Linked DNA regions of Struthio camelus. The protein of the gene in region 3 purifies or fractionates together with the protein of the main gene of each other region. This does not show direct contact. Links are inferred from orthologs where the notes say so. Each region holds a gene or a part of one and is shown on either strand. Other genes may lie near its edges. The genes, in order: EXOC6, EXOC8, EXOC1 and EXOC3.

What was found.
Region 1: the proteins of EXOC1 (region 3) and EXOC6 purify together in Homo sapiens (affinity purification with mass spectrometry; 4 studies listed by BioGRID and IntAct, counting the BioPlex papers as one, with this or other methods). This does not show direct contact. The link is inferred for Struthio camelus from reciprocal best matches to the Homo sapiens genes EXOC1 and EXOC6.
Region 2: the proteins of EXOC1 (region 3) and EXOC8 purify together in Homo sapiens (affinity purification with mass spectrometry; 3 studies listed by BioGRID and IntAct, counting the BioPlex papers as one, with this or other methods). This does not show direct contact. The link is inferred for Struthio camelus from reciprocal best matches to the Homo sapiens genes EXOC1 and EXOC8.
Region 4: the proteins of EXOC1 (region 3) and EXOC3 purify together in Homo sapiens (affinity purification with mass spectrometry; 5 studies listed by BioGRID and IntAct, counting the BioPlex papers as one, with this or other methods). This does not show direct contact. The link is inferred for Struthio camelus from reciprocal best matches to the Homo sapiens genes EXOC1 and EXOC3.

Annotation. Positions count from the first base shown.
Region 1 is NC_090948.1:19,088,731-19,095,918, forward strand, and holds the start of EXOC6 (exocyst complex component 6), read left to right. Parts: upstream 1-4,168; 5' UTR 4,169-4,177; coding exon 4,178-4,299; intron 4,300-6,327; exon of another isoform or gene 6,328-6,401; coding exon of another isoform or gene 6,402-6,484; intron 6,485-7,188. UniProt on the Homo sapiens protein: Component of the exocyst complex involved in the docking of exocytic vesicles with fusion sites on the plasma membrane.
Region 2 is NC_090944.1:91,124,660-91,132,282, forward strand, and holds the start of EXOC8 (exocyst complex component 8), read left to right. Parts: upstream 1-4,621; 5' UTR 4,622-4,683; coding exon 4,684-6,198; intron 6,199-6,849; coding exon 6,850-7,458; 3' UTR 7,459-7,623. Other genes in the region: DNA-dependent metalloprotease SPRTN, read right to left, coding at 44-311, 1,200-1,328, 2,173-2,272, 3,841-4,106. UniProt on the Homo sapiens protein: Component of the exocyst complex involved in the docking of exocytic vesicles with fusion sites on the plasma membrane.
Region 3 is NC_090945.1:56,369,973-56,377,641, reverse strand, and holds the start of EXOC1 (exocyst complex component 1), read left to right. Parts: upstream 1-4,648; 5' UTR 4,649-4,739; exon of another isoform or gene 4,740-4,986; intron 4,987-6,232; 5' UTR 6,233-6,242; coding exon 6,243-6,366; intron 6,367-7,176; coding exon 7,177-7,307; intron 7,308-7,669.
Region 4 is NC_090943.1:75,388,946-75,396,122, forward strand, and holds the start of EXOC3 (exocyst complex component 3), read left to right. Parts: upstream 1-4,163; 5' UTR 4,164-4,288; exon of another isoform or gene 4,289-4,348; intron 4,349-4,460; exon of another isoform or gene 4,461-4,858; intron 4,859-6,428; exon of another isoform or gene 6,429-6,515; intron 6,516-7,177. Other genes in the region: dynein axonemal heavy chain 5, read right to left, coding at 887-987, 2,534-2,721, 3,709-3,923. UniProt on the Homo sapiens protein: Component of the exocyst complex involved in the docking of exocytic vesicles with fusion sites on the plasma membrane.

The DNA.
Region 1 (7,188 bases), on a different chromosome or scaffold from region 3:
ATCTACGCTGGAATTATACACCCAGCAGGCATGACTCTATATTATGGTACATACTACTCTTTTTGTAATTGTCACATCAGTAAACCGTATTTTTAAAGCATTACCCCAGACATGCTAGATTTAAACCTCAGAGGCTATGTTAGTGGAAATATTGGAACAGGAGTTTTTGGCCTTCTGTATCCCCAGTCACGAGACAGTTTGGGGTGGAGGAAGAGCAGATCTTGGAGGGGAAGGAAAGAGAGAAAGGATGTGGAGAAAGCGGTTTTGCTCTGGATAAGCCTCTGCATCCTGCATCACAATCTTGTTTTTATTTGCCTCAATTTTCCTTAGCTCCTGACTGGCCTGGGCATATTTTTGCCCAGGAAAATCTCAGGATGATTGGAGAGATTTCAGCTGCGATTTGTACAGCTCACAGGCCCTGAGGGTTTCTGGCTGTGCAGGCTGTAGGCAATGAAATATCTCCTTCACAGGAATCGCTGGAATTTAACAAGCCTAGAAAAATTCTGCCCTTTTCCAGTCAAGGACTTGTAGCAGATTAATACCTTCTCAGGCTTCTTGATTAAGTTGGGTTTCAACCAGTACAATATCAAGCCTCAGAAATGATTATTCCTACTCTCCCTTTCAGCTTAGTGGATCTTGTACATTTTTCAAAAATAAAATAAAAAGAGAGAAATTAATCAACTATTAAGTACTTATCGTAGTAATTCTTTGCTGACAATGTACAGGCAAAATAACTGAACAGGTTATGCATAGATGTGCAGTTCAGATACACCACCCTACTAAAAGATTGTGCCGTGTCATAATACAGCATTTTTCTTCTTTTATTTCTCAGAAAAGTTTTCTTCCTTGGACAAGGCAGTTTCCTAAAGGCTCTTGAGAGTGACCCTGAACTCACCTGGAAAAAGGTAAAGCTTATGTATGACTGAAAGACACAGACTTTGGGCATGTATAATAAGCACAGGAGGGGAGCAGCAGAAGATGGAGATGGAGAAGCAGAACAGGCTGGACAAGACAGCACAGGGAAGAAGCAAAATCTCCTGCAGCAAAAAGAGCTTTGCGCGTTATCGGCCATAATGGACCCTAGCCCGTGGATCCTTGAGCAGATACAGATCCACCACCTCGTGATCCTACAGCAACTGGAGCCTCCGAACAATTTCAAGGCGGGTGCAAACCACTCTGGCGCGCCAGACGGCCAGTTCAGGTGCAGTTCACTCTAACTCTGTGCACCCAAAGGGAAAGGGAAGCCATGTACCTCTGATATCCAGTTCCACAACCAATCAGATTTGCATATTTCTTGGTGATTCATTTTTGTATTTGTTCGCCCCTTTTTACATTGTTTTGTTTTGTTACTAAGCTTACTTATTTGCAGGCAGCTGGGATACCTGCAACAACATCTGTACAACAAATTAAAGCACTGGTTTTTTTTAGTTTATTTATTTCTAAAGTAAGCTTGTGTGTAAGATTTTGGGATAGAAGAAACTACATCCAAAGCCTCTGTAAGTATCAAACTCACTTAAAATCCCCCCAAAAAACAATCACAAGAGCACTCTTTATATGGCTTCATGCTCCCATCGCTGCATCACGTTTTTTCTTGCAAGTCACTGTGTGTGATGCCCAAGGCATCTCCGATTTATCTAGCTCGCCTGTGCTCAGCCACAGCGACAGCAGATGCACTTTCTTCTATCATGGGCCATGTTATCATGAGCCACTGCAAAAGAAAATAAACAAGTGTTCATCCAAATAAAAGTGGGTAGACATATCTTATTGATAGCCATGTTATTTGGAAGAATAAAATGCTTACAAGTCTGTTTTTGAAATTAATAGAAATTATTCAAAATCTTGCCTAAAAATAACTTTTGGTATGCGCAGATAAATGCCAAACATTCTTAGCATCCAAGGACTGTGCTTCTTTCCAGGACATCCAATATAAGAGTAAGATGCCCCCAAGGGGCACTAGAATTGATCAACTTTGCTGATACGTACACGTCGTTATTTAGTTAACCAAGCTTTGCAAAATAACGACGTGTATGTATCAGCAAAGTTGATCAATTCTAGTGCCCCTTGGGGGAAACAATCCAATCTTGGCCACTTGCAGCTTGTGTTGAAGGCAATGGGATCAAAACAGACATCTCGGAGACGAGCAGGCTCTGGTGGAGCAAGGTGTAGAGCAGAGGTTAAGGTAGGTGATCTACATCGCTCTGTGGAGGACCCTGTCTTTCCCCTTTGACTATGGGCAGAACGGAGAGCGCCTGATCAAATAAATAAATTAGGTGCCAAAAGGTGAGTGTTGCGGCCCCACACTGTGCTTTTCAGAAGAGGGCCAATAGCTTCTGTGTAGCGCTTTAGAGTAAATCTACGGCCCAGACTGTGGTAAGACGCTGCTGCAGCAAGCTGTTATTTTTTGTGTTTAATGTATGTTGATTGTATCAAATACAGGAAATTCATTCATCAGTAATTAGCAGCTTTACCTCAGGTGAGCAATAACCCGCAGTGAAGCTGCTGTAAAGCTGTGAAGACAAGATGATTGCAAGGAGCCTTCTAAAACTATCCATCTAGCATGTATATGCAGCGACAAGTTTGGTAAGAAAGGGGTGAATCCAGAGGAAGTTGTAGTGGGATGATCGTTCAGAACTTTTTAACTTTAAATCAGAAGTGTAGTATGACTGACAGAGCTAGGACAAACGAGTTCATAAATTAGAAACCAATGCCAATCAGTGCAATATTTTTTGCAGTTATTAAATTTACTTTTACAGGAGCCTCACATAATTAGTAATTAATACTTAACCTAGCATCTGTCAAGATGAGAACGGGTAGTTAAGATATCCTTTCATCTGCATTTGTGTGACATCCAGTGGCTGGATGGGTCAATCACAGGCATGCATTTCTTGCTAAAGGTGTAAAAATAGCTCACAGCGCTGTTTAGAACACAAAAGCAGTAAATCCGCTGAATATTCATGCTAACAGAACAATTGCTTAATTTTGGCTTCAAAATAAACAGATGATTAAAGACGCTTATTCAAGGGAAGACTTTACAAATTTGGATGCATGTAACACATTGCACCCTTTAGAGCACTTTCTGAGGTAAACTTGTCTCAGTATTCCTGCTGGGCACAGAGAAGTGAATAAACAATATATTGCCCAAGTCCGGAACCAGTAATTTCTGTTTTCCTGCATTTAACTGTTGACTGCACCATGAGTGTCAAAACTCATATTAATTTCATCGGGAGCGGTGCTGAGATAAGAGCTACATTTTCATTAAAATCTTTGAAAAATCAAAAATAGACACGTATCGTAAGACTGACTGTGCCATATAATAAAGAAGGCTGATATTAGACTTCCAATAAGTTTTCTAAATTGAAGGATCTAAAACTCCAGCCTTTGTTCCAAATAACTACTTGAAATTTTTGCCATTATCATAATTATCTGATATCAGCATTGCTCTGAACGTTGTAGGAGTCCATCCTCATTCTTTTCCCTGCAGGAATGCAACGCACGTAATAAATGAGTAACTGTTTACTGCATAGGGGAACACAGCCATGTAAAAATCAGTTATCCTAGAGCATTCTTTACAAGCTGTTACTATAAATAGCATCTACTAATGCTAAAAATGAAAAAGGTGAGAACATAAAAGTTGCCGTGCTTTTTTTCAGCTTACTTTATAAAGTCCATAAACCTGCTTCATAAAAGCCGCCAATTACTTGTTTGTACAGGCTTTTTACACAGCAAAAGGAAAAATTCAATCTTCTATAAAAACATGATTTTAACCTCACAAAACTTGACAGACAGAGTGAGCATTGTGGGCCAGTGTCTGAAATGACTTTAAAATTGTGTTTTCAAATTGACTATATTTCAGGCTTTGTGCTTATTACTTGTGAACTACTGTGAGGATGTAGAAATACTATTTTTGCCAGTAAGTTTCATATTCAGATAAACGGAATACACACACACACACAAAGACCGTACAGGCCTGGGTACTGCGTACGAGGCAAATGTTACTAGCGGAGACAGGAAAACAGCAGCTGTGCACCATTCTTGGACACAAAGTCCTCAAGAGTCACGAGGTTAGCGCAGGATCTGTTTTTTCATGCCTGGTTTTGCTGACTGCAGTCACTCAGTCAACGATAATAATCAGAATAAAAGTCCTCTCCTAAAGTTAGACTAGTTTTTATGCTCATCTATGGCGAGGAAAAGCAAGTCAAATATGTCAGAGTTGTATCTAGAAGACAACAAAGATCAGATATACGAAAATGCCCTTGCTGAGATCCAGTCCTTTGAGCTGCCTCTGGGAACCACGCTAAGGTATGCATCGTTTAGATCATATTATATCGTTCATGATGGATTTGCTCCATTCTATAGCTGTTCTTGCAGTCAGCCCAATGTATTAGAAAGTTGATTATCTTGACACTGACATCTACAGGAAAGTTGTATTTGATTCCAATGCGATTGGCCCTAAATCAAAAAGTATAAACTGAAGACTCAACTCAACTCTTTCTTTTTATCAGGACAAAGCTGTTAGTGAAGGCGGGCTGCACGTTCTCTCTGAAGAAAGAAATTACATTTAAACATGAAAACAAGGGAAAAATCACTTTTGTGTAACAGAGTGCTTTTAGTTTGAGGTTGACAACTACATTTTTTAAGAATAATTAATTGCTTCTAATTTTTGTATTTTTACTGAATGCAACCTTCTCTCTAAAGGCACAGCTACTCGGAGTAAAGTTTAACTTAGGGATATCCCTAAATATCTGAAGATTTTAATATGATTTAATTTACAGCTTATGGAAATAGTTTAATGGTAGAAGCGCAACTGAAAAAAATCCTTTGGATATTCATCCCTACAGAAGTAACATATAAAAGATTATGATGTTATGAGCCTAAGTATATTGTTAGTATCTGTAGAAAAGATTTAAAAATAGCCTGCCTGGGATTGTAGGAATCGGGTTGCAGTGACTACCAGGCTAAAGAAAGTAAATTTAATTTACCCTGAAAAATGTATGCGTCAGTCTACTAAAGTAATTTGGTGACGCAAAAAAAAAAAAAAAAAAAAAGAAGAAAAAAAAGGACGTGGGAAAATTGTTACTGCAGTTGAGTGATTTCTTGAAGGAAACACTACTGCAGAGAGAGCCTGTAGGATTTTTCCTATTTTCTTTCTGCAGTACACACTTTGTAGGCACTTGTCTACATTTGGAATACTCCCTGCTGTTTCAGTAGGTGCCATCAATAAATTCAGCTGAATCAACAGCAAATATGATAAAACTACAAGCACAGACAAGATGTACCTAGTCTTAAGCGCCATTTATTAACTTAGCGTCCAAGCGTAGCTGCACCAGGGCAGGAGATACGGTAAGTTTGGTTGCAATAACTGGAAGGATGCTAAACGTTATTGTAGCTCGCTGCTGTCTAGACCTACGTGCATATATAGCTGTAAACTTCTGTCAGTTTTTCTTGGGAAAAGTAGCCAGACACCACTCTGAAGTTTCATGCTAAAGGCCTATCTCTTTACGCTGGCTTCCCAGTTGTGCACAGCTAACTTTGCCCTGAAAGCAGGTGTATCCTGTCTCCTGAACATGCAAAACCCAAGGACTAGCTCATCTTAAGCCACAAACCACAAAGTGTATAATTTAAATAGAAAACGAGTTATTCCTTCTTCATTGAAAAATGGAACCCCATTGTGCACGCGCGCAAGGACAGCCGAAGACAAGCTACAGCAATGCAGGAAACAATATGCAAGTTTCTAGTGAACCGGATAAGCTGGGGAAGCAACGCAGGGCGATGCTTACGCAAAACGGTGCGCTCCCGCAGCACGGCTTACCTGCGCCCCAGCCCCCCCAGTCCTGTCTGCCGAAGACAGAGAAGAGGTAGCTGGTCTAAACTGAATAATCATAACAATGGGGGGGGGGGGAAGGCCTAGCACTAGGCCTGGTACTAGCACTCGGGGCTGGCGGCGCTGCACCTGCCGCCTCGCTCCGGGCGAGCCCAAGGAACGACCCACAAGTAGCCCACCGAAAAAAGAAAAAAAAAAAGCCCCTTCTAGCCCCCTCGGCCTTGACGGGCTGCTCTAAAACAGCACCGCGAGGACGGCGCAGCCGCCCGTGCAGGGCAGCGCCCGGGGTGCTGCGGCTCCCCCTGCCGCGGCGGCAGCCCGGGACAGCCGGTCCCCGCTGCCCGGGCCGGCGGAGAGGCCGCCGCGGGCTGAAGGCCATCGCCGGGCTCCGGCCGGGGCGGGCGCGGCCCCGATCCACCTGCCTCTCCCCCGCCTGCCCCGCTCCCGCTCCCGCTCCCGCTCCTGCTCCTCACCTCACCTCGGCGCGGCCGGCCCGGCCCTCCCCGCCGCCTCCCTCCGCCCTCGGTCCCGCCCCGGCGCCTCCCGCCGCGGCGCGGCCGCCGGGTCCCTCCCATCCAAGATGGCGGAGAGTCTGCCCGAGCATGATCGGATCCTGCAGGAGATCGAGAGCACCGACACGGCCTGCGTGGGACCCACCCTGAGGTGAGGGCGCGGGGCGCCGCGGCCGCGCAGGCTCCCCCCCTTCCCCCCCGCCGCGCCATGCCGCGGCCCGCCCTGCCCTGCCTTGCCCTGCCTTGCCCGGCCCGGCCCGGCCCGCGGAGCCGCCGCGGCCCGGCAGCCGCGCTGACAGCTCCTCCCCGGAGACACCGCCGGGGCCGCCCGCGCCTGCGGGGGCGCCGCGCCCGGGCCCGGGCCGCCCCGCGGTGGACGGTGTCAGCGCGCCCGGCTGCGGCGGCCCCTCGGCGGAGCGGGGCCGGGCCGGGCCGTCGGGCTCGGCGTGGGGCTCCCCCGCGGAGGAGGAGCTGCCGCGGCGGCGGAGCGGGCCGGAGCCGAGCCCCGGGGCGAGCCGGCGCGGGCGGAGGGTCGGCTCTGGGCTGCCGGGGCGGTGCGGAGGGGCGCAGGCTCGCCTGAGGCCTCCTGCGCCGGGCCGCGTCCCCTGCCCTGGGCATCTGGCGGCTGGTCGGAGCGTTCTCAAAACACCACAATTTCAGTGATTATATATGTGTGTGTGTGTGTGTGTGTACATATACCTTTTTTTCCTCTCTAATTCTTTTTTTTTCCCCTACTGGCTGACACACCAAAACGGTTTTACTTAACCTTTCCTGTCAGAGAGAAAGACGTTAGTGCCCCCCGGCCTGAGCTGAGGAGAGCAGGGCAGAGCCCGGAGGCAGGAAATAAGGGTGTTC
Region 2 (7,623 bases), on a different chromosome or scaffold from region 3:
TTTGGACAAGAACAGCTTGGAAAAGAAGAACTATGTCGAATACCTTTGTCAGTTGACTTGGAATTTGACAGTTTTGCTGGCTGGGTTTTCTCTTTGGCTTTCTTGGAAAAGTTTTCTGGTTCCTTCACTTTTGTAAATGTACCTCCACATGTCTCTTGATGCTCCACCCACCAAAAGTCTCGTGCAGAGGGTGCTCTGTTCATCGAACGTTTCACATATCCAAAATAAGGTTTTCTGTATTGACAGGGGCCGTTGCATCGCCACCAATGCTGGCGATATAAATCCACTTCATCATGAAAATTATGATAAATCTAAGTTAAAAAAGAAAAAAGCCAGTAATTCAGAAAATGTATAATTTTATAAGTCAGGAGATTAATCACTAGCTCCACATTTCTTTAAAATGTAATAGTGCTCCATTCCTTTGTAATACAAGCTAAAGTCCTCCTGCATGCCAGGAAGGAAAAAAATTGTCCGTCTGGTGATAAACTGACACACTACAAAAAGCCCTTCTCAAAGTGTCATCTTCCTCCCAAAATAAACATAATTTATTATAGTAACAAACCTGAAGTCTGATAAATGGTCTGTAATGTGAGAAGCACTTGCATTGTTCCAAAGCTTATCCCCCTCCTGGACAATTGTTTTTTCTACCACTACTGTGAGAAATAGCTTCTCCATCTCTCCACCATCCTGTTTTTAATCTCTTCATGACTTTCACGTTATGTGCTATTTAGAATGCACTGTAGACAATATAAGGATTTTGAAAATCAAACTGAAAGAGCAGTATAACAGCATAACAAAATAAATTCTCACTTCATCATCTTAATTGATCGTCAGAGACATGAATTTTAAATGCCATGTTCAATCACCCATTAGCTCCTATTGAGACAAATCTTAACTGAAACAGATTATTCTGAACTTCTGTACTTCAAGTTTAAAACAAACTTGAAAGGAAAATACTTTCAGAAGGTGTATATGATAATTACATGAGTCTAACAACCCTCCACATCTTCCTCAACACGTTCCCTTCACCATCACCAACAAAATAACTACTGAACTGGCAAGCAGTCCAATGTAAATTTGTATTGGTGTCTACTAAGAAATACAGGTGTATTAATCATACCACATTTGGACTATTCAAACACATGGTACTAAAACAGGGAAAAAGTTGTATTACACAACATTAAGTGGATTGTGCTTACCGTGACATTGGCTCCAGTTAAGCGATTAATGCGACGCATGTGTTTGCGGAACTCTGGCCCATGAGATTCACGATCTTTGTCATTATTAGTAACAAACAGCAGGGCATGGATCATTTCATGTAACAGTGTCTGAAACAAGGCTAATCATCAGCTATTTACGGAAAGGCATTGCATACAATTTCTAAATTAAGCTGCAAGCACTTTTTAATTTATGCTACTCTACATTAATCTTGGTACTCTTTGCGTGGTACCTTACTCTCACGCGTACACTTGTTCAATCTCGGTTATAAAAACATAACGCTTATTCTACCTGCCAAATCAAATCAGCTATTTCCACACAACCTAAACATGCTAAAGAATGTTATTTTAACATTTGATTCTCCAAAGAGGTAGAAATAATCCCCAAACTCAACGTCAGATCTTCAAGAAGATCACCCCCTCCTCACCACCAAACAAAAGAGACTTTTGAGAAGAACGCAGAAACTCTGCAGCACTTCCATTCACTAAGCAAATCCAAATGTTGAGGCAACTCATATAAGCAGATCTGGCAGAGGCACGAAAAGCAATGCAAAGGTATGTTCACAGTCATAACCCATAGCCCTATTTTCTGTTAATGGCCTTTTAACCTAAAAGGCGAAACTAAAGCATTTTCTCAAACTTTCTGGGTGTATTTGTGGTTTTGATATCGTAGGATAGCTTTGGAGCTAAAAAGAAGTCTTTTCCCCCTTTATAAAGTGAGTAAAATAAACAAGTGACTGTAGACTCCCATTCAAGAGTTTTCCATTTAGAAACATACAACTGAGAATACTATAGAATTGCCCATAAAAGCAACACAAACATAGCAATAAAGCCACCGCTATTTTGTAATCTATAAGTCACTGCTCATAAGAACGCCATAATAAAATGTAAAATGTGTGTGCAGGGAAGGGGTTAATACATTTTATGTACAGATTAATGAACAATCTTCAAATACCTCAACAAGATCCTTCCTTGGTCTTAACTTCAGAAGTGGCTCACTTAGACGAATGGAACACATTCCACCTTTTCCTTCATAGCTACATACTCCTGCACAGCTGAAAGAGATGCAGAAACAAAATATAAGTTACTTGATTCTGTAATATATGAAGAAAATTGAAAATCAAGAGTTAAAATGCTTGCCTCTTCCAATACATGCTAAATAATTTAGAATATGAAAGACTGTTAGAAGCTACTCGAAGAACTCAAGTTCATTAACCAACAAAAAACAAGCAAATTCTTCAGAATAAGCTGTTTGCGCTACTAGAAGCTCAACTGTAATTTATTAGATGTCTTACAATCACTTAATTCAAAGCTAACAATCCTGAAAAATCACAGTAGAATGCTCCAAGCTCATTTGTTCATGAGGTAAATTAGCGTTCTCATTCAGACTCCAGATGGAGTGAAAAACATAAAACAGAGGCTGCTCTTTCACAGCAGCCAACACTGACCTAGCTGCTGGTTGCTGCAGTTCAACCCTCAGCTGCACACTCTCCCCTGCACAGCTGCACAGTTCTGCCTCTTACTGGACTTTTACATGGTCACTTCAGCACAGTAATACAGCAGAAAACATTTTGCTGTTGTTGCATTAGTTTTCTGTAAGCACAATATACTCAAATATTTCCAAATGTGCAAAGAGCACTGCAATCAGCAAAGGACAAGGAGGGGGAGGGACTCCAACATCCTGCAACTGTATTAGCTGATCTGCTGCAGAACTGCAACCTGCTTTTATCTTTTTTTTTTTTTAAGTCTACTCTAAATCTTGTTAACATGCTCTTATGCATTTATTCACATTTGCCTTTCTACTATGCTGTAAAACTATAAAAGAAATTCAAAATAGCAACAAAAAAACTCACCAATATAAATATGTTTAAGTAAGTTTTCAAATACACAATTTAAGACCAATTTATTTATTCCACTATAACAGTTTTGTCTGCACACTGAGAAAGCCATTTATGGTTGCCCAAGCTTACAAATGAAGGACAAAATAGATACCAACTGTGACAGATCCACATCCTGGGCAGAGGTACAACCTATGTTAGAAAAAACAGGAAACTCCAATACCTAGAATTTAAGCTGTGGAACTGGTAAGTGTAGTCTACTAAGACATAGTTAGTAACAGCATATAGTGACAAGCGACAGGTCGGTTTTCCTCCTTTCCCCAAAAGTCTAAGACTGTATCGTGAGATGAATTATTGTTTGCTTGATCAGTCACAACCTTTTCCAAAGGCTCAGACACAGCAATTAAGAACTGCTTGGACTGTTCACGAAAAGCATCGCAGCTCACTCATGACAGCCTAAGTCTCTGCCAGTGGGAAAACTGACGCTAGTGAAAGCGCTTCACCATGGCTGCTCTAGGGGCTCAGGAAGGACCGGCTTCCCGGCCCCGCCGCTTCGCGCCCTTTTCTGGGCGCCCCCCGAGTACTTCGGCTCCCCGCACAAGCGAGGGCTCTGCCTCGTTGCTGGCCGCTTTCCGTCAGGGCCGGGAGCGAGGAGGGGCAGGGCGCACTCACACGGACGCGACCGAGAGCCTGCGCTCTCCTCCCCACACAGGGCCACCCTCAAAACCAACAGGCAGACGAAACAGCCCCACCCCTACAACCGCCTCCCCCAGCCGTTACCGTACAGGGTCATACGCGGGCTCCACGACACCTCCACCGCCGTCAGGCGCCCCCAGAAGAGCGCCTCGTTGAACTGCACGAAGAGGCCGTGCACGTCGGGGCTGGGGTCCAGCAGCTCCCAGGCCTCGTCCACCACCGAGAGCGGGCGAAGCAGCGAGGAGTCTAACGAGGCCTCAGGGCACGCAGCGGCGGCCGCCGCCGCCTCCTTGTCCTCCGCTTCCCACAGCTCCTGGAGCTGCAGCGCCAGCACGAAGTCATCCTCCTCCTCCATCCTGAACGGCACCGACGCCAGCGTCACCGCCCGAGCTGCTCAACCGCCGCCCAACCGCCGCCGCCGCCGCAGCCCAGGAGGCACCCAGCCACTGCGCACGCACACACCAAAAGAGCTCCAGCCCCGACGCACACTCCTTGCGCCACAAACGACGCGCCGCCGCCGCCGCCGCCGCCGCCCCGCTCCGACTACGCATGCGCTCGCCCTAACGGCGCGCCCACTAGCGCTGCTGCTCCCGGCTGCGCGCATGCGCACAAGCCGGGCCCGGCGCGGGACTCCTCCTTCCCGGCGCGCGACTCCTCCTTCCCTGTGCGCACGCTCGCGAGGGCTGAGGGCGCTTCCGCTCTACGCCTGCGTCTGCGCCTCGCCTCGCGTCGCTCCGAGCCGAGCCGAGCAGAGCCGAGCGCGCGTGCGCGGCGGCGCGGCGATGCTGGCGCAGGCGGCGTACGTGCCGCTGTGCGCAGGCGCAGCAGCGGTCTCCCCGGCGGCGGCGGCGGCGGCGGCAGGGCGGACGCCGCGCCGCGGGGCTGGTGGCGGGGCGGCGCGGCGGGGCGGCCTCGCCGCCGTGGCGGTAGCGATGGCGCTGTCGCTGGGCGAGGGCGGCGGGAGCCGGCTGCGGCGGCAGCTGGAGTCGGGCGGTTTCGTGGCGGCGGAGTACGTGAAGCAGCTGTCGCAGCAGTCGGACGGCGACCGGGACCTGCAGGAGCACCGGCAGCGCATCCAGGCGCTGAGCGAGGAGACGGCGCAGAGCCTGAAGCGCAACGTCTACCAGAACTACCGGCAGTTCATCGAGACGGCGCGCGAGATCAGCTACCTGGAGAGCGAGATGTACCAGCTCAGCCACATCCTCACCGAGCAGAAGGGCATCATGGAGGCCGTCACCCAGGCCCTGCTCCTCCAGGCCGACCGCGACGACCCCGCCCTGGGCGCCCGCCGCGCCGCCGCCGCCGACCCCTTCCTGCCCCTCTCGGCCAAGGAGGCGGCGGCCAGCGAGGAGGGGCGGCAGCGCACCCTCACCACCCTCCTGGAGAAGGTGGAGGGCTGCCGCGACCTGCTGCCCGAGAGCCCCGGCAAGTACCTGGTGTACAACGGCGACCTGCTGGAGTACGACGCCGACCACATGGCGCAGATCCAGCGGGTGCACGCCTTCCTCATGAACGACTGCCTGCTCGTGGCCACGGCCCTGCCCAACCGCCGCGGCGCCTACCGCTATGACGCCCTGTACCCCCTCGACGGGCTGGCCGTGGTCAATGTCAAGGACAACCCGCCCATGAAGGACATGTTCAAGCTGCTTATGTTCCCTGAGAGCCGCATCTTCCAGGCCGAGAACGCCAAGATCAAGAAGGAGTGGCTGGAGGTGCTGGAGGAGACCAAGCGCAACCGGGCCCTCAGCGAGAAGCGCCGCCTGGAGCAGGAGGCCTTGCCCCGGCCTGCCCCGACACCCCCCGAATCTACTAACCCCTTCGAGGAGGATGACGAGGAGGACGAGGAGCCCCCTGCCGAGGAGGAGATGGTCGACCTCTCCCTTGAGTGGATCCAGGAGCTGCCTGAGGACCTGGACGTCTGCATCGCTCAGCGGGACTTTGAGGGGGCGGTGGACCTCTTGGATAAACTTAACGAGTACCTGGGGGACAAGCCTGTGAGCCAGCCTGTGAAGGAGCTGCGGGCCAAGGTGGACGAGCGGGTCCGGCAGCTCACGGATGTGCTGGTCTTTGAGCTGTCTCCGGACCGCTCGCTGCGAGGAGGGCCACGGGCCACCCGCCGGGCTGTATCCCAGCTCATTCGCTTGGGCCAGTCCACCAAGGCATGCGAGCTCTTCCTGAAGAACCGTGCGGCTGCTGTGCATACGGCCATCCGACAGCTGCGCATCGAAGGTGCCACGCTGCTCTACATCCACAAACTCTGCCATGTCTTTTTCACCAGCCTCCTAGAGACAGCAAGAGAGTTTGAAACGGACTTCGCTGGCAACAATGGCTGCTACTCTGCCTTCGTTGTGTGGGCCCGTTCTTCCATGAGGATGTTTGTAGATGCCTTCAGTAAGCAGGTATTCGACAGTAAAGAGAGCTTGTCTACTGCAGCAGAGTGTGTAAAGGTAAGAGTGAAAGGAAGGTGGTGTGGCATGGTGGACTAAGCAAAAGGGGGAAAGCTTGTAACCCCCCGTTTCTAACCCTAGCTCAGTTGTGGACTCGGACTTTGAGCATGTTGCTTGAAAAAGTTTCCTGCATTGACGAGTTAAGATCATTCATTTGGTGTTTGTTTGGCGCTTTTTTTAAATTTAACCAAAAAAAAAAGCATTTAAGACTAATAAAGTACAGAGCAAGAGAAAACCTGTGTTCACTCTTAATTTGCCTTTGTCTGGTAGGAGATCCTTAAATTTACACAGTTTATCTGAACAGTGAGTACTGTGAACACTTGTGTTTTCCAAGCCTGTACTGGACTATATTTCCTTAATTTTTTTCAAGGACTTCAAGAAGTCCTTAATTTCTCAGGTTATGGTATCTTTCAGCTGCTAATAGGAAGAAAAAAAGGTTTCTAATGTAGTTGTCTGTGGCATTTTTGACAGGCAAGGTTTGTCTTTCAGTTACTGATTTCCCATTAAAAAGGAGTTTCTTAGGGTAGGAGAAACATGTAAAACATAACTAACGGTTCCCGGTTTTCTGAGAATGAAAAATTTGGTAAACTTTTAAAATGTAAAGGGGGAATGCAAACTGATAACACACTTCACTTTTCATTAATACCCAAGGTAGCTAAAGAGCACTGCAAGCAGCTCAGTGAGATTGGACTGGATCTTACCTTCATCATTCATGCCCTTCTGGTAAAGGATATCAAAGGTGCTTTGCAGAGCTATAAGGATATCATCATTGAGGCCACCAAGCATCGCAACTCTGAAGAGATGTGGAGAAGGATGAACCTAATGACCCCAGAGGCTCTGGGAAAACTCAGAGAGGAGATGAGAAGCTGCGGGGTAGGCAATTTTGACCAATACACTGGTGATGACTGCTGGGTCAACCTTAGCTATACTGTGGTAGCTTTCACTAAGCAGACTATGGCCTTCTTGGAGGAAGCGTTAAAGCTTTACTTTCCAGAGCTGCATATGGTTCTTTTGGAGAGTCTGGTGGAAATCATCCTCGTGGCTGTGCAGCACGTTGATTACAGTTTACGGTGTGAACAGGACCCTGAGAAGAAAGCATTCATTAGGCAGAATGCATCCTTCCTTTATGAAACTGTCCTTCCTGTTGTGGAAAAAAGATTTGAGGAAGGAGTGGGAAAGCCAGCCAAGCAGCTACAGGATCTGAGAAATGCTTCAAGACTGATGCGTGTAAATCCAGAAAGTACCACCTCTGTGGTGTGAAGTCAAGTAACTGTTCTCATGAACAGTGTGTGAGAGCGCTTACAGAAAATGTTGTACATTAAATATGAACTAAATCTTTTCTGGATCCCTGAAAAACTTGGAAGTCTAACTGCAACCTTCCTGAAGCTGAAAACTTGCAATCAAAACCTGCAGTGATGAAAACCT
Region 3 (7,669 bases):
CAAACACACTGTGTATTGCTAGGCTGATCTGATTGCACTGTAGAAAGTCTGTGTCCTGAGGTGCGGCAGACTCACTTTGTGGTTAGTATCGCACAGCTGGGGCACATGAGAGAGAGAATATGCTAAATTTTAAATAGAAAAAACTGACAGGCTAGATAGCCAATCTTTGAATTGATTTATCTTTCAAAATTGTTTTCTACATCACATTTCCTGATTTTGGTTATACAGTGTAGTTTGAAAAACAGTATTTTGGGATTCATCTGCTTCTTCTGGAAGACTTCTCCAAAACTGAATAGGGAGAAACTTATAGGAGAGTAAAGGATAATCAGAAATGCTTTTGTAGCATTCCTATAAAAGGTGTCAACTAAATGATGGAGTGCATTCTTACTCAAGACTCTATGTAGACTACATTCAGAATACAGGAATTGCTATCTGCCCTATCTGTGCTCCAGAGAAAAGGAAAAATCTAGCAGCCTGAAAGTAAAGAAGCGTGATAATGAACAAAGACGACTTTTATGCATACTTGGATAAGAGGCAGAGAGAGAAGAGAATCTCTCATAAAAGATGGATGATGCTTTTTGTCCTAAGAAGTATCCTGTATTTTAACTTTTAAACCAGTATCAGAAATAAGAACAGGTGGAAAGAAAAAGGATTTAGGAATATTTTGTTTGTAATACTTACTGATATCATATACATCTCCTTTTTTCTGTACTTAAATGATTCATAAATTTCCTGCAGCTCTGTACTACAAAGAGCACTTAATATCAACATTTAGAGAAGATGGTGCCAAATCAACAAAAAATACACTGGTGATATTACACTGGTATTCATGGATGCAAGATAACATTGCACCAGCTAAGAGCCTCGAGCTTATATTTAAAACAGAAGAATTCTCTTCCTGTATGTTTATCTTTCATTGATAACTAATCTTTTCCTACATTCTATATAAAGAAAATATGGAAAATGAACAGTTACTTCTCATTAAGGCTGGAACTTATGCTTCTGTTCCCTCCTGCCCCCAATCCACAGGTCTAAAACCAGGAAAGCTCAGTCCTGGATCAAAGCAGACTTTTTAAAGCCATTTCTGAAGGGAAACAGACCAGGGCCTGCTCCAGACTGACTTCTCTGTTACTTCAAGTTCTTGTTCTCCTTTGCATACCGGAGTCACACATATACTGACTCATCTCATCCCAAGTATGCCACTACTCTCCTCATACTACTTCTTTCTCTGTCACCTGCCTATTCCCCAATACTTTCAGTTAGTTTCACAGTATAACTGTTGTATCTTCTCCCAGTAAAATGGGAGTGTATCATGTAATTTGTAATATGTAATTTTGGAATATTTTTTCACAAGTTAAGGCTCATATTGGAAGATCGAATCTATGGGAAGCTGAAATAGGAGGAGAGAGAGAATGGCACTGTGCATACTGTAAAATGATCTCATAATGACTGTTTTAACAAGTATAACCACATTTTAGCATTAACCAACTAAATCTTGCTTTTTGCACTGAAGCAGAATGAACAGCTAAAGACAGAAAACAAGGAGGGTTTTGGACTGTTAACAGTAAAAGCTTTATGCAAACCTATCCAATCCTTTATGGCTGCTTTGTCTAGTCTTTATAGATCCAGGCAAAGACAGTTTCATTTTGTGGGTGAACTGAAAAATTACCAAACTGTAACTTCTCTCTTAACCTTGGCCCTCATGAATGATATATTACAGAAGAAGTCTACAGCATGCTGTTTTGTAAGTCAGAAAATAAAAGTACATGCAGCAAGACTGTATTGGTCAGTAACATTTAATGTTTTCAGTCAAGCGGGAAGCTAATAGAATAATGATGAGATCACCATTTTATCTGTTAAAAATCCACATGTATTGGCAACTTAACTATTATAACTTGGAAAATATATTTACTGTTGCTTTGTATTGGTAATGGCCTGGCTAATAGATTTTATCAATCATACCTTAAAGCCACAGTGATGCATTAACGTGACATAAATCATATAGTTCAAGTAATCTGTAATGTTTTCAGTCTTCTCTTAACTCTGCCCGCAGGCCTTCAAAAAAATAGTATATTAATTTATATGAATAATGATAAAAATGAATGAGGTATATTGATCATGTGAAGAACCTCCTTCACAGCAATAATTGAGCTATAAGGTGGTTTCCCACTGAATGCAACGGTGGCTACAAGTAGCTAAGCCCGGTTTTGGGCATCATTTCTCATGGTTATATTCCAAATGCTAGATGTCACAATTAGTCACAGAGTAACTTTTCCCTCTGACTTATCACTGGCATCAAAAACTCTGAATTACTAATGGCACTTTGGGATCGGGGGAGAGCCAAAATATGAGTGCTTTTCATAGAAGAAGTGATATCAATCCTAATGCTGTGGCCAAATTAGAGTTATAATTGTTCCCTTGCAGCTGCAATCAGATATAAAATTCTTTGTCACTTGAAATTCTGAAATACTGCCATGTTACAATGTTAAGAAACTTCCTTCAGTACCAGATATATCTGCATTTCTTTTATGTACACTGTAAAGGTCACACCTTTTTTTGAAATTGAAAATGCATAGCTCCATTAATGGTTAAATTCTCAGGCATTGTGTATGACAGGCAACAAAAAGTGCAGAGTATTAATTACTTAAACTTCATGACTTCATTTTAAAAGTGTTAGGTCATACTAAGCATTTTAAAGACTGTACTGTTTTTTTAGATCTCCACAGAGAAGTTGCGAAATATTCATTTAATGTATCATACACCTAAAAATCCATTTGTGATAAGAACAGTTTAATCAGTTTAAAAAAATGGAGGAGGGAAAGCAGTAAATATGGAACACAGTTGTACCGACTGATTACTTCCTGAAAAGCTGTGGAGAAGGATCCAGACATGCTTAGATCTTACCATCTCAAATACCTTCTGTTTACATTTAAAATTGCATTTAGGATTCAGTGTTATGAAAGTTCATCCCATTTCCAAGAATTTTTCAGTAGAAATCCACCCACAGTTTTAAGAGAAAGAGAAGCAATTCTTGAGTTCTGGCTAGCCTCTAAATTCTATCTATGATAATAAATTAGTGAGCCATTTTTAGTAGATATAATTTTCAAACATTTTAGTTGAAACCTCCTCCACTAGTTTGAGAAGTGCTATGAGAGAGGAGAAGAGCAACTAACTCCCATCCTGTTCCTGCAAGTCAACTGCTGGGGGAAGGGAGATGCTTCATGGTATCTGTAGACAGAGATCCTTGATAAGTCTTCTCTAGCTCATCACAAATTACTACAGGTAATCAGCAAGAAGCAACTATTTAGATAGCAGGTCTCAAAACAATCTGTCCAGAGAGTTGCTAGACAGGGATCTGAGAAAACACTGACCTGTAACAAAGAACGTGCTACTTGTATTTAACCTAATTCATTGATAACATAAACTAGGGTAAGGCTATTCCAAGATGCAACAAGGGTAAGAGGATACATGAAGCGAGGGTTGACAGTCCATGCTAGATATAATAAAGCTAATGTGAATGGAAAGAATAACATCTAGGAGCCTTTTTCCTCCCCTAAAAACATTTATCTCCTAAAAGATGTAGAACTTCTTAATAACTCTGCCACGAGGCCAACTGATGACAAAAGAGACATCAGAAACTAGCTGACATTGTATCAGTTTTGCTTTTGGTGCCATCCATGTTATTTCTCCCAAGATACTACTTAACTATTCAGCTACAAACTCTTTGGGGGACAAGAGTTCAGCCTTCATACTTGCATGTAAAACACCTATCACAGTTAGTAACACAGAGAGATTATGTCTGCATTATTTTTGTTGCTACTTTATGACTTGCAATTACCACAGACAGCTATGTTTTACAAAACAGCTGGCCGAACCTAACAGCTCACTGCTGCTGGAGGGGGCACCTTCCCCCTAGCTCTTCAGCCTCCCAGGAAGCTTTTCAGGTTCTGCTCTCATGAGCTGAAGTAACTCACCTCAGAAGCAGGCACAAACCACCTCAGGGAGATACACCTGGGAACACGGGGAAGGAAGCAGGACCACCTTTTTGCAAGGCAACGAGACACCAGAGAAACACAGGGGCCTCGTGAGAACCTGCCCAACCATTTCCCCTGCCAGAGAGTGGCTACGGAGCTAGAGGGGTTCACCTCAGGCTTAGACATTTAGAGGGCACCCAGGCAACGCCTAAAAGCCACCACGCGATTACAGCCTCAGCCTAGCAATGCCACCTACCCGCTCACTAGGCTTTTATAGCCTAGGCCGGCTGAGCACCGCCCCCGCCAAGCCCCGCCGCGCCACACGCCGCTCCCGCGGGCACCGCCTGAGGAAGGAAGGGGACACGCCCTAACGGCCGCCGCCGGCCCCGCCCTCGCCAGCCCCGCCCCTGGCGCTGCCCGCCCTCCTACTGGCTCGCCCGCCCCTCCCTCTTTCGTTGCCCGCCCCCTTCCCCCCGGCGCCCGGGTGCGTTGCATAACTTCTCCGGTAGGGGGCGCGCGCGCGCACTCGGCCTGGCGCTCTGTGGACTTTCTAGCGTGTAGTCTCGCTGCTAGGCTGGGGGGGGGGGGGGCGGTGCTAGGGTCACGTGAGCGGAGGGGGCCGCGGCGGCGCAGCTCGGCGGCCGTTGGGGGCAGAGCGCGGCGGGGGTGGGGAGGGTCGCGGCCGGAGCCGGAGCCGGAGCCGGAGCCGCCGCGTCCTGAGGCGGAGGCGCTTCCCTTCCCGTCTGGCCCGGCCCGGGGTTTGCGGTGAGAGCGAGGCGGCTCCGGGCGGCTGCTGCCGCTCCTGTTCCCGGAGCGGCACCGACATCCTCTGCCCCTTCCCCCTCGCTAGGTGTGAGGGGCCTGCTCCGGTCCCCGGCGGCCGTGTCCGGGCTGCGGGCGCGGGTGGGGCCGTACCGGAGCGGCGGGCGGGCCGGGGCTGCGCCTGTCTGCCGCCAGCGGCCGCGCAGGGGGTCCGCGTCTCTGCCCGGGGCCCTTTCAGCAAGGCTCGCAGGTGGGAGGCGGCGGGGCTGGTGTCGGACGGGCGGTTTCCAGCCGCGGCTGCGATAAGTGACCCTCCTGAGCGTTCCTCTTACACGAGTGGTCTTTTGTTTGACCGTTGGCTGTGAACGAGCTTCCCCGGAATTTTACAGTTAGGCCGCGCTCTTACATTAGGTTATTACCTGATACGATATACGAGTGTTAAGAGTTTCCTGGTTGCACACGTAGAGAGGCCAAGCAGTGCACATTAAGTAGCCTGGCTGAGTTGCTCTGTTGAATCTCTCCTATATATTTCCTGTCTGTGAGATGATGTCTTTGATAGATTTCATGCAGAAGAGGCTTTAGCATTACCGTATTGAAAAGATTATTCCAGCAATCCCACAAGGGACTTATTGGAGCCTGAATTGGGCTCAGCTCTCTCAAAGCGTTTTTCTGAGGAAGTAGCTTTGTCTCCAGCTTCTTGTATCTACTTCTGTGCTCTGGGATGGCAAGGGTTGTAAGTCATGGATGAAGACTGCAGTAATGTACTTGGTCCTGACTCACAGTGAAGGTTTTGGGGCTGTGACTCAGTGTTGAACTAGTAACAGAAGTTGGACTATATGTCAAGTATCTGATCTTGGGATTGATGTCTCCTCTTTTATAGGAAAGGTGTATTCTGCACAGCTGAGAAACTTTGCTTTAGCAAAAATGTGAGGATCAGTGAGTAGCAGCAGTCAGTCTGAATGTGGTTTAGAGCAATAGGTGAAGTCCTGACCAGAAGAGAAAGGTGATATTTCCAAAATTAGCAGGCTGTTGGTACCTTGTGTGTTCATCTTACACATCTGTTGAAGAATAACTGAAATGACAACCTGAAGCAATTTTGGAAGAAGCTGGACCAAGCATTTGAAAGGAGAGGAAAGGTGTTAGAAAGCCGTTAACGGTGGAATATTACAGTGCCGTAGAGATGTCATATAAACAGCATTTTTCTTGAATATCCTGAACTCTTGAGTGCTTAGCAGTACTGATTTCAGCTTGGTATATTGGCCCTTTTCCCCCAAAGCACTTGGGTTACTAATTGTTAAAATTTATCTTGGACTTATTCCAAAAATAGTTGGACTTCTATCTATATTATGCATGTCTAGATTATGATTCATTAAATTACCTGTAAAATGTATTTTTTAAAAACTGTAGTTGCTATACCTAAACGTATGTTCTTATTGTATGTTTTAGTAGCCTCCTCAGTCTACTTGAATGTAGTATGAATTTTTGAAATTTTTCAGCTGGGAGAAAATGACTGCAATCAAGCATGCTTTACAAAGGGATATTTTCACTCCCAATGATGAACGCCTGTTGAGCATTGTGAATGTATGCAAAGCAGGCAAAAAGAAGAGAAACTGCTTTTTATGTGCCACGGGTATGTCGTAATACCACATGATATTTTTGTTTTCACCCTTTTTATTCACTTGCTTTTTTCTTAGCTTTATGTACAATATTTATTCTCGCTCCTTATAAAACAGATGCTTCCATTTTTAATGGAAAAATTAGTTGTAGCTTATATCTGTTATTGCTTCTATTAAAACAGAAACAAAACCCTTTGCTTTTACTCTCAGATCTTATTGTAACTTGCAAGGAAGGAATCAAAATTATTTGTGTTGGACTGGGTGGGCTTGTGAAGCAGGCCTTGTATGGTGCTTAAAAGGAGATTTAGTAGATCTCTAGACTGATCAGCCTAAACATGATGCAGCAAGGAGTGCTGGTTAGAGTCCAAGACAGAGGGATCTGGAAAGGCACAGGATTTTAACTGAGTCCTAATGTTCCTTTGAGAGCACGTCCTTTATATTACACCTCTTCCAAGAAGGTGCTTTTGTCCAACTTATCAGTAAATTAGCTGACTGGATTTTTTTTTTTTTTATGACGAATCTCAGAAAGCATTTTTAATCAGGCTAGAATCTCCATTGACTTCTTTGTTCCCTCAGTGATGTGGCAGTGCGGCCATAGTTCTGCTGCACCAAAGAAATAGGCATAAATTGGCTTCAGGACTTGAGAAGCTGTGCAGAGCTGCACATCTGGATGACTGAAATTTAAACTGAGCTGTGGGTATTGAGGATGAAACTTGTTTCGAGGGCTCTGTTCTCATCAGATATAAAATAAGCTTAAGTATAGCAGAAACAGATGTTAATGTAGTTTGAGTGTTTCAAAATTGCTCTTATACTTCATTTAACAGTGACAACGGAACGTCCAGTGCAAGTAAACGTGGTAAAAGTGAAAAAGTCTGACAAGGGAGATTTCTACAAAAGACAGACTGCGTGGGCGCTTCGAGATCTTGCTGTGGTTGATGCCAAAGATGCTGTTAAAGTATGTGTAACTTCTTTTAGTGCGAACTCTACTTGGGACACTTTTACTTCCAAGTCAGAGCTAACTTGGCTATTCATTGTCATACAGCTTTGACTGATAATGTGTTAATTTGGGTTTAAGATGATACATGTTTATTGTATTTTCTTCCAGCCTTCCCAAGAATATAACCCTAGTAAACTGAGTCTGAGTAGTGCAGGTATGCTTGAATTGAAATATTCTGAATATCTTCCCAGTTTACTGTGAGCGTCTCTTAGGTTCTGTATAGTACTTGTGCTAAGAACCAGTACTTTTTTTCTGGTTCAAGTCCTGTGTAAATTTTGATTCAAAAGTTTAGTTTCCCTTGAAATGAGTCATGGCCATCT
Region 4 (7,177 bases), on a different chromosome or scaffold from region 3:
ATGCCTTTTAGAGACCTAATGGCTGTAAGCATAAAAATATGGCTTTTACTGTATCTTTGATAGCAATTTTTTTCTTCTGTCTTAGTAAAGATACTAGATGTCAAATGCCTGTTGTTTCCTCTGTACTGTCTCACTATCACTGACACTTTGTCACAGTGACAGTATTAGATGACCAAACATAATTTAAGATAACCTAAATAGTGTCTGAGATTTAAAAAAAAAAGTGTAATATTCTGATAGTGTTACAGAAAAGCTTCTATTTTTTTAAATATACTTTACTGTTTTCACAGCCTATACATATCAGACGTCAGATATCATCTCACCTCACTAGCGAATTATGTATGTAATTTAAAAATTGTATTTTGCAGGAAAATTGTGAGATCGATACGGCATAAACTAAACTAACATCTGTGCATAGATCATGAATAGATTCAGAAAGAGAATGTATTTTCACCATCTGAATTACGTTAGTGAAAGTGGCCTGTTCAGAGCTCTAGATTGATTGGGCAAAACCAATTTCACAAATTAAGCTAACTAATTCAAAATGAGGTGAGATATTCCCATGTGATGATGCAGACATAACCTTATTCAAATATTCTTAACCAATATTCATTTTCACCTTGGCAAAGAAAGGGGATTAACCAGTAGATGACCCTCAAAATAACATTGTAAGCACAAGAAGTAAAGGGCCTAAGATCGTATGCACTTTTGAGTAGTTCATTGCTCTTGTTCCTTGAAATTAACAAGATATTAATTGAACTCAGCACCCTTCAGTCCTGGGTCAAGTTCTGCCAGCCAAAGAAGACTTCAAGAATAACCTGTAAAGAAGAAAATTTAACAGACCGAAGCAGTTGAGTAACCACCATTTTGGAATGAAAACACTTGCCAGAAGAGCACCAGTCAGAGGTGATCCTGTGACAGCAGATCCTAGCTCAGTGCTCCTTGTCTTCAAGACACCTCTACGCCTATGGTGCTTACTTTCCGCGTCTAGGACAAAGAAGTGACCAGTTATAATTATTCTTATTCAGGTATATGTGCAATAAATGCATTTACAAGACCTGCAATGATGTTGGAAAAGTTACCACATTCTGTCTTAACATCTGCTGGCTAACCTTTTTTCTCAGGCTAGGAAAAGTTAGACATGAAAGGACAGCTAGAAAAACTATGCCTCAGCAGAAACTCTTAGAAGCCTCTATAAGAAAAAATGTCTCATGATGGTTTTTATCTCAAGTTTAATTTGCAAGGAATCCCCACTGATAATAGCAGAGGTAAGAAAAAGCAATTTAAAGGACTAGCTTGCAGAAGTCAGTTCTGGAAAAAAATCACAGGCTCTTTGAAATATTGCCACTTTCCATTCTTGCTATTGTCTCTCAGTTATTCCTCAGCTGTTGCTTCTTTATTCTTCAGATATTCCATGCGCTCAAGTTGTTAAAAAGCATCTGCAAGTAGCAAGTCTGCCAGAGATGCAGAAGACTGATAACCAGGATTTATAGGGACTGCTAATATTTGCCATGAAAACAGTACACTTATCATTAGCGTGTGTAACTATCCATTGCTGATCACTTAAATCTCCTTAAGAGCTTTTGAAGCCCTTTGATTTATTTAATCAACAATTTATTGTATGCCTTTATTTTTTTCTAGAAATTATGATTTGTATATTTTAAAGTGGTTTTAGTAACATATAAAACTATTAATGTTGTCCTGATACTTAGTACAAGCACTTTTCTGCAGCCTGCCACCTTATTCATTTTTTGTCCAGCTCTCTCCTTTAATTTACTTTTAATTACCAAAGCATTCCTAAATATTGATTTATCTGTCCTTAACAGAAATATTGTATTTGTTGTCTTTAAAAATATTTAATTGAAAGGCACCAAGAATACTATTTTTAATTACTACAGCTTGGTCTTTTCCAAGAAAAGCAACCAATTTATTTCTCAGATGATGATATTTAGGTCCTATCCCTTGAAGCGAGTAATATCTTCAACAGAGCATGCAATAGTGATAATTAGTGACTCACTAATTGCTTAATTGGAGCTAATTGGAACTATTGCTTAATCTATTCTAAAACATAAATAATAAGATTGTGACTAAAATTAATATTCTAATAACATCCTTATAAATTTTCTTGTAGATTGTGTCTGTTTTGAAATGAAGTCTCCTCCGAGTATGCTATTGAAAACTACTGTCACTGTTAATATATCCCAAAAGAGAGATGCCATACCAAATGCCACACAATCAGCAGTTTTATTTGAATGCTAACCCATTAACATTGTTCTAGCTTTTACGACAAATGCAACAAGCTCAGGAATAAGCTAGTTATTTGCTAAGGAAATCCCCATTATTCTTTTCTTAGAGTACTATTCAATTTAGTTCCAGAAAAATGGCTCTATGCAAAATATATATGCCTAGCATTTATGGGCATCTGTTATAAATTCAAACATTGTACTTAATAATCAGTTTCTCATTTTATCCTTGAAAAAGTTATTTCCCTATAAAGCGTACATGAAGTGTTTGCCAATATTTCCTCCCTTACCTTTTTTTATAGCAATGAGAGGTGGACAGAGACCAATGTCAGGTTTGGAAGAAAGCTGTGTTTCTTTCGGTTCTTCTTCTGATTCCCGCTGTGCAAAGTGATAAGGAGAAGAACTAGGCTTAACTCTTCCCTCTAGTTCAGTTTCACCTCCCACTGGCTCCTCCATCTCCAGCACCACATAAAATAACCTAAATTAACAGTACAGAAAACAAACAACTGGACAATGTAACACTGCAAGGACCAACCACATCTTCAGTATTTTTATGCCCATTATAGCATCCCATATGATATATTAGTGAGGAAAAAAAAAACATTTCCTCTATCTACTTTTGGTAATTTAAAAGGAGAAGATCTAGCAAACCAGTATCATTTTCCAAACAGCTTTAGCTGGCAATCTACAGAATAATAAAAACCCATTCAAGTTTGCCCATTAACAAACCTTTAATTCCACAACTATCATTTTTCTCTGACCACTCAAATTTCTGGAGGTGGGAACTCACCCTTTGAGGGAGAGGTTAAGGTCCCTCTTGTTAAGAGCGCTGCAGGTCCAAAGCAAAGCTTTGGGCACAGAGTGCTAGGTGAGGCACTTGCTCACCCCCAGATGGGATGCCTTGCTGGGTGCACGTGGCCTGCTCAGCTGCTATGGCAACCCTTACACAAACCCAGCTAACAACCTCGCACCCCGAAGGCACCTCATTTGCCCCAGTCTCTCACCACCAGTGAAGCTCTGATTTTGTAACTGCTCCCAAGGATTTTTTTTTTTGTTTGGCTGTTTTTTCAAGCAACGTACTTTTCTCTTAGCAGGAAATAAATCTTTAAGGATATAGTTTCCATGAGCCTCTTAAACGCACTGTTGCTAGGAAACATGTACACAGCAGAGTTATACAAAGAGCCACAGGAGGGCATAGCTAGCTGTATCCCAGCAATGAAGTAACGCTTCTTAAACACAACCCTTCTTGGCAAAATAACAACCACCTGGCCTCTGTGTAAAATATGAAGAGATACAGCTAAGAAAAATAATCGAATGATGACTTTCTCTTTTTTTCTGCTGGGCAAAGTCACTTGTAGATAGAGCTGAAAGGTATCACGTGGTTCCCAGGTTCTTAGGTAGCTGATACCTAAGACCTATTGCTTTTGTAGCAACATATTACCATTTTAACTGAAACGTTAAATACCTGACAAAGCTTCTACATCTTTTTTTCACAGACTCTGAAAACCTTGACTTAAGGTCCCAAAATATTAACAGCCACCTCAAAACTGAAAGACTGCAAAAACAATCAAAGCTTGAGGAAGAGGGGGAGGTGCGGCCTGCAGCCCCGCAGGCTACCGAAGCCCCCCTCCCCATAAGGGAGCAGCCGGCGTCCCCTCGCTCCCGCCAGCTAGGTTGCATCCCTTAATAGTCTACCCATACGCGTTTACACAACCGCCTCCACACCAGACTGAGGCTACTTAGCGAGAACAAGGCAAGCCACTCCACCGTCACTACAGAGCCAGAGGCGGTACCTCCCTCCTAGAGTAGACTTTTTAGAAGCATGAACATCCCCTTCCCGCCCCATTTCCGAGCCCGCGCAGGCGCAGACCGCTGCCCTAACAGGTGAAATGGTAAGTCTAGCCCGCATGCGCACTAGCCACTAGTCGTGGGTAAGCGATGAGCTTTCTTCTGCGCTTGCGCGCCGGGTCTTGTGCCCCTGGGTGACCGTGGCGCTTGCGCGCTGCGTGACTGTCACTGCCCTGCTGGGGAGTAGGCTGGAGCCCGTAAGTAGTGTTTGGGGCTCCTGCTCTCCCACCCCTGGCCCTGCGCCAAAGCCCCAGCCGGTGAGCGCTGCGGTGTCGGCTCCTGCTAGGCTATCGCTGTTTGTAGTGACCCGAGCTTTTGCTCGAGTCTGGAACGGGAAGTGGAGGGGGGCCGGGCCGAGCTGAGCGATCCGGGAAGCCTCTCGGGATCATGGGGCCGAAGAGGGGCTGAGGGCTCCTCCTGCGCGCTGTGGCGCAGGAGCCCTGTCCGCGGGCCTCCGCCGAGGCAGAAGGGGCGCGACCATGGCGGGTCCGCAGCCTGGCCTGCGCGCTCGGGGCAGGTCTCCGGCCTTTGCCTAGCAGCAGCGGGCACCTTCGTCGATGCCGATGACTCGGGTTGCGCGGCCCCGATAGGGAACGGGGCTGGGCCGGGGGTCGCCGCCGTTTCCTGTGTGCCGTGTTAGGAGGGGAAGCTGCGTGGTGGGGAGGCTCGCGCCGGGGCGCAGGCGCTCCCCTGGGAACTGGTGGTATTGCTCGCTGGCTTCTTGGTTTCACAGTTGGAACCTCGGTGCAGAGGATGAGGGGATGAGGGTATGCTTGCTACTGAAGCTTTTCCAAGATTGCTTGCTTGCTTTCTTCCTTCCTGTTTGTCTGTCTGTCTTTGTGTCTCGTTCCAGCACATAGCTCTGAGGATGTGTGTGGTTCTGGCTCGTAGCCAGAAGGTTGTAAAGGTTGGCATTGTTTCTTAACGTTTGCTCTTATATGAATAGGTAGCAGTTGTACAACCTGTGTACCTTAGCAAGCTGGTATGCAATCATACCAGCTTAGGTGTGATTACCTAAGCTTAGGGTGTTACGGCATACTGGCTTCTAACTTTCTTTGTGGGACATACTTAATAGACCAGGATAGTGGCTCTGTGAGTTAGAGTATAATTATATTGAGTGTATCCAGATTTGTTAATAAAGGAAGTAATTCAGCATAAAACTATCTGCCATAGATGCTGTTTCTGTAGTAAGTCCATATTTAAAAATAACAGGTTTTTTTGATTGTAGATATGTTTGTGACAGCTTAGGAGTGGATTGAGCTAAACAGAAATAGGGTATTTGTTACAAAGTGTGAGTGGTAGGAGTAGATCCTCTATTCTGAAATGTGGAGTAGGAAATCAAACTTAATTTAGGGTAAATGGGTTATTAGCAGAGAAGTGATGGGTATGTTTGCGAAGCTGAGGGGGTAAAGTAGGGTATGAGTTTATACTGCAAAAGTAATTCTGTTATAAACACTCTTTAGACATGTAATTTTTGAAGGCTGATCATAAAAAAGTCAAACTTGAGAAAGAAATAGACTAGCTTTTGGGTTAACTGTACCTGAAATCTTTCTTAACCCTGCAAAGTTCTAAAATAGCTAATTCTAATAAAGCTAAAACTATTATAATGCAGGAAAAATAGAGGTTACTTATGCTCCATATTAATGTGAAAGCTTTTTATTACTGAGATGTTACGTTATCCAAGAATAAATGCTGTAAAACCAGGAAGTTAACCATTAATTCAAACAGAAGTCTATGCAGGTTGATGTGAAATGTAATCGAGACTCTAAAACAATTTTAGTTCTGTGACACATAATATCTTTACAGTAACGTGGTCTTTATTCTGCATTTAAAATGTAATTAACTGTAGATCAAACTGATGTTTTAAAATTTCCTTCTTTCTCCTTCCTGAGACCTTAACAAATTTTACAGCAGTACTTATTCAAAATGTTTGCCGTTGCCTGCAAGTTTCTCTACTTTTTCTAGACTGATGATTTAGACCTTATGTGTCAGGTTATGTAATATCAATGCCTAGGCCTACAATGGTTAGAAGGCCCCATGCTGTGCAGTAGTAGTGGAGGAATATAGCTGCTAGCATGGCATTATTAGGGTAAGACTTGCGTTAATTCCACAGTTCTGTGCACCCTGTATGGTTCTTCATCAGATCTCAAATTAAGTTGGTAAGCTGTTGCTGATGCAGAAGATCTTAAGGCGGCATTACAAATCAATAACTTACATTTGCTGAAAACAGCGAAGAGGGAATCAGATTAGTGAGTCTTCCTCACAGAAAATTGATCGGTTTCTTCATACTGTCTTTCGTGTAATAAAGCTGATAGTTCATTTTTGTCTTTAACACAGCTTATTCTTCCAGAATTTCCTGATGGAAATTAAACCTTTTCTGTTTAAGGGTGCTGGCATGAAAAGTTGTACTTATGAAACATAAAGGTAAAAATGACTTGATTAGTGGATTAAAAGTGCTATACAAAGGTTATGTGTTAATTTAACATTTGTTAATGTGTTAATTTAATGTATAATCTGTCTTTTTTAAAATTCTTGAATATAGCCTGTGTATGATCACCAAATATTAACCAGGAAAGGTATTAAATTAGGATAAGGATTTCAGTTAAGACCATCTGAAAAAAGTGGTTCTTAAATGTTTTCCACACACATACTCATTACCTCTGTTGTCTCATCTAGATTGTGCTGATGTTGGAGAATGTGATATAGTATTTCCTGCCTTCCATGTGGAGTCAGGATATTACAGATGTAGAGTTTAAGTGATCTACTGAATATACTAATGCACTGTGCCTTGAAAGTTTTTAATGTCAAGGAAGAATATGGATTTGACGGAATATGATTGTCATAGTAACAGAGCAGAACCTGGAAGCATCCTATTTGATTCCAGGAATCAAGATATAAAATGTTTCTTACCATCTGGAAGGAACCAGGAACTCCAGATATGTTCATATCTTGTGGAGTTCTATGCATAGCATGTTCTTGCATTTTCAGTGATTGGGATCGTTCCTGTCTTCCATGAGTAGCTAGTGAAGCATGAAAGGACAGGTCTGTTTCTATTGCCAGCAACTTTGCCTGTTCAGCATTTTGTG